Linked DNA regions of Caenorhabditis elegans. The protein of the gene in region 1 interacts with the protein of each later gene in a pairwise test. Each region holds a gene or a part of one and is shown in the gene's direction. Other genes may lie near its edges.

The links.
Region 2: the proteins of C14B1.2 (region 1) and tmbi-4 interact in a two-hybrid assay, tested with the Caenorhabditis elegans proteins (one large-scale study listed by BioGRID).

Annotation. Positions count from the first base shown.
Region 1 is NC_003281.10:3,700,464-3,703,819, forward strand, and holds C14B1.2 (Conserved plasma membrane protein), read left to right. Parts: upstream 1-1,796; 5' UTR 1,797-1,863; coding exon 1,864-1,962; intron 1,963-2,006; coding exon 2,007-2,123; intron 2,124-2,177; coding exon 2,178-2,309; intron 2,310-2,358; coding exon 2,359-2,607; 3' UTR 2,608-2,709; downstream 2,710-3,356. Other genes in the region: pdi-1 (Protein disulfide-isomerase 1), read right to left, coding at 1-422, 473-856, 903-992; C14B1.3 (F-box domain-containing protein), read left to right, coding at 3,193-3,257, 3,309-3,356.
Region 2 is NC_003284.9:9,148,888-9,153,848, forward strand, and holds the start of tmbi-4 (Transmembrane BAX inhibitor motif-containing protein 4), read left to right. Parts: upstream 1-1,806; 5' UTR 1,807-1,820; coding exon 1,821-1,859; intron 1,860-2,786; coding exon 2,787-2,842; intron 2,843-3,019; coding exon 3,020-3,138; intron 3,139-3,408; coding exon 3,409-3,517; intron 3,518-3,526; exon of another isoform or gene 3,527-3,605; coding exon of another isoform or gene 3,606-3,749; intron 3,750-3,806; coding exon of another isoform or gene 3,807-3,905; intron 3,906-4,095; coding exon of another isoform or gene 4,096-4,257; intron 4,258-4,638; coding exon of another isoform or gene 4,639-4,783; intron 4,784-4,961. Other genes in the region: putative calcium-binding protein B0563.7, read right to left, coding at 3,606-3,749, 3,807-3,905, 4,096-4,257, 4,639-4,783.

The DNA of each region.
Region 1 (3,356 bases):
GCGTTCTCTTCAACATCAACGTCGAGAAGAACAAAGACGATCTTAGCACGGAACTTCTTAGCGACCTCAGTGAACTTGGCAATAGTCTCATCGAAAGAAGAGTCTGACTTGCGGATGATCAAAAAGTGGAACTTTTTGAGGTCTCCTCCGACGATTTCTTGAGCAGATTCGTGGGTGAACTCGGTCACGGCAGAGAGCTTGTAAGCGTGGAGCCATTGCTTAAGAGCGATGGTGTTGGTGATTTCAGCTTCAGCAATTGTGCTAGTCTCGCTGTCGTCTCCATCAGTGCGGATAAGAGCGACTCCATCTTCATTCAAAGATGCGGCAGCAGCAACCTCAGCAGAACCGGCAACGGCGAAGAATGCGTCATCGACAGAATCAGCAACTTCGTTGTAGATGGTAGCAGCATCAGATTTCGCGTCCTGAAAAATAAATAAATTAAATAGGTTGTACTTTTTATGTAAAAAAATACCTTGAAGTATCCAAGAACAACAACTCTGGTCTTTCCCTTCAATTCCTCGAGTTGCTCAACTGACTCAACAGTGGTAACAGTTGGTCCACTCTTCTTCTTGACCCAATCGACAATTTGAGCGGTGGCGCGTCCTCCGGTGTATTTCGTTGGCTTTCCACTCTTGAAGTAGAGGATAGTTGGATATCCACGGACCTCGAACTTGGATGCAAGAGCTTGGTTTTCGGTGGCGTCAACCTTGGCGAGCTTGATATCGGATCCTTCCTCCTTCAGCAAATCGGCGGCTTCGTCGTACTTTGGAGCAAGAGACTTGCAATGTACACACCATGGAGCATAGAATTTGACTAGAACAAACTCATTTCCATTGATAGTTTCTTCGAAATTGCTCTGAAAACAGTTTTTTAGAAGATAATGATCAGAATAAATGTTATACTTCAGTGAGAACAAGCACGTTTTCGCTGTCAGCAACAACTGCTCCGATTGATGCGACCAGGAGGAAGATAAAGGACACTGACAGTGACATAATTACCTGAAAATTTAAAAAAATAGTAATAGAAAATTTGAGGAAGTTATCATTGAAGAGAAAAGAGGTATAGACAACGATAAGTGTGCAAACAATACGTTAGCCATTACTTTGCGATCAAAAAAGTAGGGTATGAGTATTGACAAACGCAGTCAATTTTTCTTTTAAAAAATCCTCGTCGTTCACAACCTGCTAGGAAGAGTGCGAGCGACGAGAAGAGAAGGAGAATAAGCGCACGTTGTAAAACAGAGTAACGAGAGAAAGAGAAGAGACCGTGAACGCCCCGGCAGAGACAACGAGGACCGCGAAACTGCAAGACGAATGGACAGTGCAGTATTGACACGTCAGCATACGCGTGTACGGGAGATGTCCACGTGGACGTCACCGTGGCGACCTTTATGACTTATTGAGATGAGAGTTCGCGCATTTAATGGAAAATTAATTGTGTTCTAAACCTTAAAACAGTGAGAAAATGAACAAAACACATCGAACTGAAAGTTTGTGCAACTACAATGCTAAAGGAACGTCGACGGCCCGGAAATGAGAGTCTATTCGAATATAATTATGCTTATCTTCAACTTAAAATTATTCTGAACCCAAAAAATTTATTCGGAATGGGCAAGTTTATCAAAAAAGTTGTTTTTGGAACTAAAATTAGCTCAAAAAATGACTTTAAAAACTGGGTCAAATAATCACTCTTTTAAAGACGCACCGGATTTAAAGATATGGTCTCGAAGCGCTGTATACAGTGTAGTCCGAGTGGACAATCAAATACTTGTTTCAATGATTTCTAATTTCATTTTTTTTTGGAAATTCTTTTTTCTTTCGTGATTTTGTCACATACATATTACATTATATTCAGGTTTCCGCTATGAAAATCCCACTAATCCTGTTGCTGGTTGTTTCAATTCAATGTTTCTATGTGAGAAACCAGACTGAAGACTCGATGGCAGAAGGATTACGTTCGAAGGTGGGCTCAAAATGAGGATATATCAAAACACATAAATATTAAAGGATAATAGTATCGAATTGTTCGGTCAACGCGTGGAGGTGCCGTCGTGGTTGAATACGGCAGCTGAGAAAACAAGAGGAATGTTTGACTCTGTGACAGGTCTTTTCGGAAAGAGTACAGTAAGTATATAACATCGACGGTGGGAGGGGTCATATTGACACAACCGTTTTTAGGCCACGTCGCGCAGATCGTCGGACGGCTTGATGACAAATCTGAAGAAGGATGAGGCGACAAGGATTTGGTTTGCAGTCTATCTCAACATCATTCTCGTTGCTCTGATTTACGTTTTCATCACGATTAAGCTGGTAAAAAATGATTACACTAAAGATTAAAGCTAGATAATTGAATTTTTAGGCACTCATGTCACTGAGCGAAGGAAAAACTGAGCGCAAGAAACGGAACACCTTCAGTTCACACGTTGCCTACGATTCCCCCGACTATAATGTCCCATTGACCAGTATTGCAACAAGAGAGATTCCAAGAGGTCCCGTTCAAGATGAAGATTTCGAGATGGCTTTGGAAGTCCGAGAGGATGAGCAAATCGCCATTCCGAACCCTGATCTCCGCAGTGATTTATCCACGGAATTTGATGATAATCACTAGTTCTAATTCATGTTCAAAATTTTTGTAAATAGCATCACTAATCTATTCCAATTTGACAGGTTCCTATTGCACGAGTATTTCTTCATAAACACGGTTATTCGTTTTTTTTTCCTTTTTAGAAACACAAATCTGAAGAACATGAATTGCTTGACCTTGGTATTGGCGGCGATAACCTAGAAAGTGGGACAAGTTATTTCTTGCTGTCCACGTATCTTTGGATAAGGAAGATCATCAATGTTTCGTAACCTGTAAAACTAAGAGAAGAGAAAGACAAATATATATCAACTAATCTAAAAAGTTGCAGTCAGCAAGATGAGGAAAAAAATAAAATATATAAAGAAGTTGAATATCTAGAGGTTCTCAATATTTTTGTCAGAAAGTTTTTTTCTCATTCTCAAAATAGCATTGAATATTTTCTTATTAATATTTTTGCTTTAAAATAATAATATTAACAGCGTGATAGTTTTTTGGAACACGAATATCACATGCATGCGCATTTCGCAAGACTTCCATTCTCTGCGTCTCTCTCCTTCTGACTCATTTCTTCTCTTTAAAATCGAAAAATATTGTTCTCATCGACCCCAAATGTTTAAAGCGTTCTCATCGATAATGCAAAGTCTACAGTTCAAAACCGATGTTCCAGTGATAATGTGAGTTTTTTCTTAATTAAAATATCAATTTTTCACCTAGAATTATTTCAGAGATGCAGAAACTGTGCCGAACGAATGTTTCTCGCCAATTTTCCGAAG
Region 2 (4,961 bases), on another chromosome or scaffold:
CAAAACACTATTGAAAAACTGCTGGAAAATTTTTCTCACCTAAAAATGAGTGATGATAGGACAATTGACATGGATCAACGTTAAGAGCGGTTGATGAGAACGCAAACATCGAGCAGCAAGTATAGATTTTTCTGTAAGTAAACCTAGGAGAAATTAGTGCAAGCCGCGATTGTGTCGTATTATGACTGTGTAAGAAAACCTGTCCATTGCCTGTCCATGGAATAATGATGAAAATTGTCACATTTTACTCGCAAAAAGCACCTGCACCTCTTATTCTCGCCTGCTATATCAAAACGTCTCTGGCGAGAAAGCGTGTGGAGAAGGGTGAAGCAAACGTCTCCGCCGTTCTCATCAAATCATGGACACGTAATACAGAACGGGACTATACAATAGCCAAAAAATTTAAAAATTAGCGAAATGTACAAAATGAACCACCCTTGAAACAATATGACTGTGAATTTTGCATGAGTATGTTTTTTATAGTTGTTTGTCAAAAAATGCGGTTTTTCACTCAAAAATACGGTACCCGGTCTCGAAACTTCCTAAAACCTGAAACAGATTATGAAAAAAGTATGCGAAAATGTTTTGAAAAAATTTTTTGTTTGTTTCATTTTTTACTAGTTGAAGTTAAGATCTTTAGAAAACGCTCCGATTGAGCTAAAATTAAATGTCGTATCTTCTCAAAAATCATAAAATCCGGCAACGAGGTATGAGTGATTTGTGTTTTTTTTCTTGATTGTATTTTCATGCTGAAAAATTTGAAATAATTTTTATTCGTGACGTCATATTATTTTCAACATGCTTCTTTGTTTGAAAACAGCTATGTCGTTGCGCATTTTCAAGCAAAACGAGCTACTTCATTATTATATGTTGTTTTCATTATGGTCATCGTTTATCAAGTTGTCCTTTTTAATTGTGAATACTGAATCCAAGTTTCACAACAACCAGACTGTTACGACTGTATTTCCAAACTGGTTTACCTTTCAATGTGGCAATATTATCAATACTATTTCATTATTATTTTCAAATTGATTTTTTCCCAAGTATTACTCAACATTTTCTGACAAGTAGGCAAATACATTTTTCTACCCAACGGTAGCTTAGCAACTGAGAATTTAATCATAGTTTGTGCCTTCGACAGGAGTTTTTTTTTTTGGTTTTCCGCTACCTCTCATTTTCAGCTCACATCACCTGTTCATAATTGTTTCTTTTAATTCCTTTGCCATTGGTTGGTTAGAATACACATTTGGACGTTTTGAGTTTTTGTGAGAGAAAATTAATTTGAAAAAAAATTTAATTTTGAAGTAGATTTATTTAAATGGAATCGACAAATAGTCCTATTTCAATGAAAAAAAAACTTTTTGCGAGATATTTAACCAGATTAAAAAAAACGTTGCAACTAAAATATTGAAAATCTTCGTACTTTTTGTATAATATACAGGTTCAAAATATAATTTATGTAATTTATGGATGTCGAAACAGAAACATCGATAATTCATTCATTCTGAAAAACCGACAAGCGCGCTCTAATGTGAACCGCTGACGTGCAGATCTCTGCGTTTCCTTTTTCCACACACTGTTTGCACTTTCCGCCGTTTGTCTCACACGTCAATATGCTTCTTTTTTCTTCCTCTTTTCCCTTTTATGTGACTGTTTTTCTAAATCTTTCGTTGTTGGTAGTTTTTCCGTTCTTCTCCCTTTTTTGTCTATGACATACTGCCAGTTTATTGATTTGTTCATTCAGTCACTTTTTAATTAGTTGTTTTTTTTATTTAATAATACATGTTTATATAAATGGATTTTCAGAACCTCTTCTCAGCATGGCGACAATCAACAGCCATCTCCGCGAGCCTGAGAGGGTATGTGAATAACCCCTTCACACACAGTTTTATTTTTGAAAAAAAGATCTCATTAGTTTTATTTCGATTTCAATATATCAGTTTTTGAAAAACCGAACAAAATTCCAACCCCGGTTAAAAGCATTGTAGAAAACTATGAGATGTTTGTACTAACAAAAATATATTTACCTATCTCACATAGGCAGTTATTTTTATGCAGAAGAGTTCCCGGTAGTTCCCAAAAAGTTGATTTTTTTGTTTTTTTTTGTTTCATAACGGAAATGCTCTAGCGGGATTTTATGACAAACGTTCCAATTGTTAAACTTTTAGGATGTTTTATATTCTACCGATTTAACTTTTGAGTACTGAATGTTTGAAAATTTGATGAATGTTCGAAAAGTACTAGCAACAAAGTTTCGACTGTATGATCCTTTCAGTTCAACTAAATCACAAGGTTTATATGAACTATCATAGTTGGAGGGCTCACCAATAATTTTTTTTGTAATAGTTCAGCAAAATTTCTCTAGAAAAGGAGTGAAATAAATTGCTTTATTTTTATGTTAGTATTATTCATTGCAATCAGAACTGCGCTCCTATCAGAGTTGAAATCCCTTGTTAATGTTGAAAATTAAATAAAACATTGTTGAAAATTTCTTAGACGTTTGGATCTCTTGGAGAATAATGTAGTGTGTCTCAGATTTACAGTTGTTTAAAAGTTTTCAACGTGACTTTTTTAATAAATCAGCCGAAATTAACTCTGTAACTTAAATAAATTCATCGACAATAAGAATTGCAGTCTTTATTAGAGTTGCAGCCAAAATGACCATTTGAAAAATAAAATTCCGTGCAATGAGGAATATACGGTACATGATATAAATTTTAAAAAATCTCATAGACCAAGGCATGTGTAATTTTTTGGCTACGAATGCTCAAAAAAAATTTTTTCAGGTGAACTTGCTTTCCGATCATGACGACAGTGACGACGACGAGGTGCATGTTAAGCGGTGAGAAAATATTTGTTAATTTTTTTAGCATTTCAGTCAGAAGTAGTTACTTGTGACGTCCCAAATCGAAATTCTCAAAATTTGTTCTCACATAGTTCTATAAAATTGTAAAAGAGTCACACCCTAACATGAAATATTGAAACTCCAAATCTGATTTTTCATTCTTAATTTTTACAGAAACCCACAAATGTGGCCAATGAGCATGGCCAGCTCGGCGCACGCAGAAGCGGGAATTGTTGACGCTGATGGAATTCTTCCAGGATGCGTCGGAAAAGCGAATAGAATGATTCGTATTGGTAAGGAAAATAAATTTGAATAAGATATCTTTTAATTAGAAACATCACGAATATTGTTTGACCGTTTTATTTTCGTTGTGATTATTTTTACAAATACTTTGTTTTCTCGACATCTTGAATGGTAGAGTGGCACCAGTAGAAGTTCGAAATAAACTCTATGATATTTGATAATTTTTAGAACAGTTTAGCCAATTTGGTTTACTCAATTTTTGATTGGCGCTACTCTACTTTTAATTATTTTAAATGGGATTTTCAATTATTTCATTTCAGCTTTTCTCCGAAAAGTCTTGGGTATCGTCGGATTTCAACTCCTCTTCACCATTGGAATCTGTGCTGCTATCTACAACATTCCCAACTCCAATCAGCTTCTTCAGAAACAGTACGTTTTTTTTGAATTACAATCAAACTTCCAACAAAACACATGTATTCACAAAGCTGCCAAAAAATAATTAAACAACCAGAGAGATCTATTCGGGCACAGTAGACAAATGATTTGGCATGGGGCTCGCTCGGTCGTCATGCCGGTCGTCGTATCTTTCCACATCAGAATCACCAGTGTCAATGTCATGTTTGGGGTCGTTTAGCAAGTAGTCTTCAACGATAGTTGCGAACTGGAAACATTTGAAAGTTTACATTTCCAAGGATTATGTTTTGAAACAAACACAGACCTGATCTGCAGACAAATGACCGTTGGCAGAAACGTCAAGTTCGCGAAAAACTTTTTCGGCAAGCTCATCGTCAAAGTCACCAAATTCTTTTGCAATATACTGAAAATAGAAAACAATGAAATATCGTAAATCTTTATTGTTAAACGAATTGTTTCATTGATGTAAGTTACTGGTTTGTATGTGGTATTTCAATTAGAAAAGGACCTACTCAATCGAACTCAAACTTCAAGTTTTATTATTGATCAGCAGTAACAGAAGATTTTCAAAACAACTTTGTTCGCTCACACACCTTAAACTCATTTTCTGTGATGATCCCATTCCTATCTTGATCGAATATCTCGAAACATTCTCTGATAAGCTCTTCGTTGGTCGACTTCACGATGTTTTGGGATTTTTTCATACACGCGCAGAATTCTTCAAAATCAATTTCTCCGTTGCCATCAGCATCCACCTGATCAATAAGCTTATTATGTATACAAGAAGGAGTGGAAACTGTTGAATTAGATAATTTAGAAGACTTTCTTGAAGAAGACAGCTTTGAACCCATTATTTTGATAGAAATTATCAGTTTGGTATGGCAATATCACAGATAAGAATAAAGAATGAAAACTTTCAAATTTTGTATCACTGTGTTTATAGTGAACTCCTCATGACATACTACAATTTGGAAATTTTCTCCGAAAACTGGTGCAGTGAACGATTTGACGATTTACGAGGGGTAGCAGAGTGGAAAAGTGAAAAAGGAGCAGAAATGGAAATGTGAAAATAACTAAAATAGTGCGTCGACAAGGAAATGTCATTGTCAAAAAGTGACATGTTCAATGGCGCTCACCTCTTTGATGACGTTGTCAATTTCAGCTTTGTTTGCATGAAGTCCAATGCTTATCATTGCCTGCTTTAACTCTTCGTTACCAATTGCTCCAGAACCGTCAGTGTCAAACATGTTGAACAGCTGACGGTATTCTTTGAGTTCTTTTCTGAAAATAAAGTGTATTGGTGAATAGATTAATAGCGATACTTTTTTTTTCTATTTGTGACAACCACTCAAATTTAACATCAACTGTGCTAATGGTTGTAAATACCTTTTAGTGAGGTTTAAAAGATTTTAATTCTTTTAACGCATGTATTTCAGGGTTTTTAAGTTTTGAACTTTAC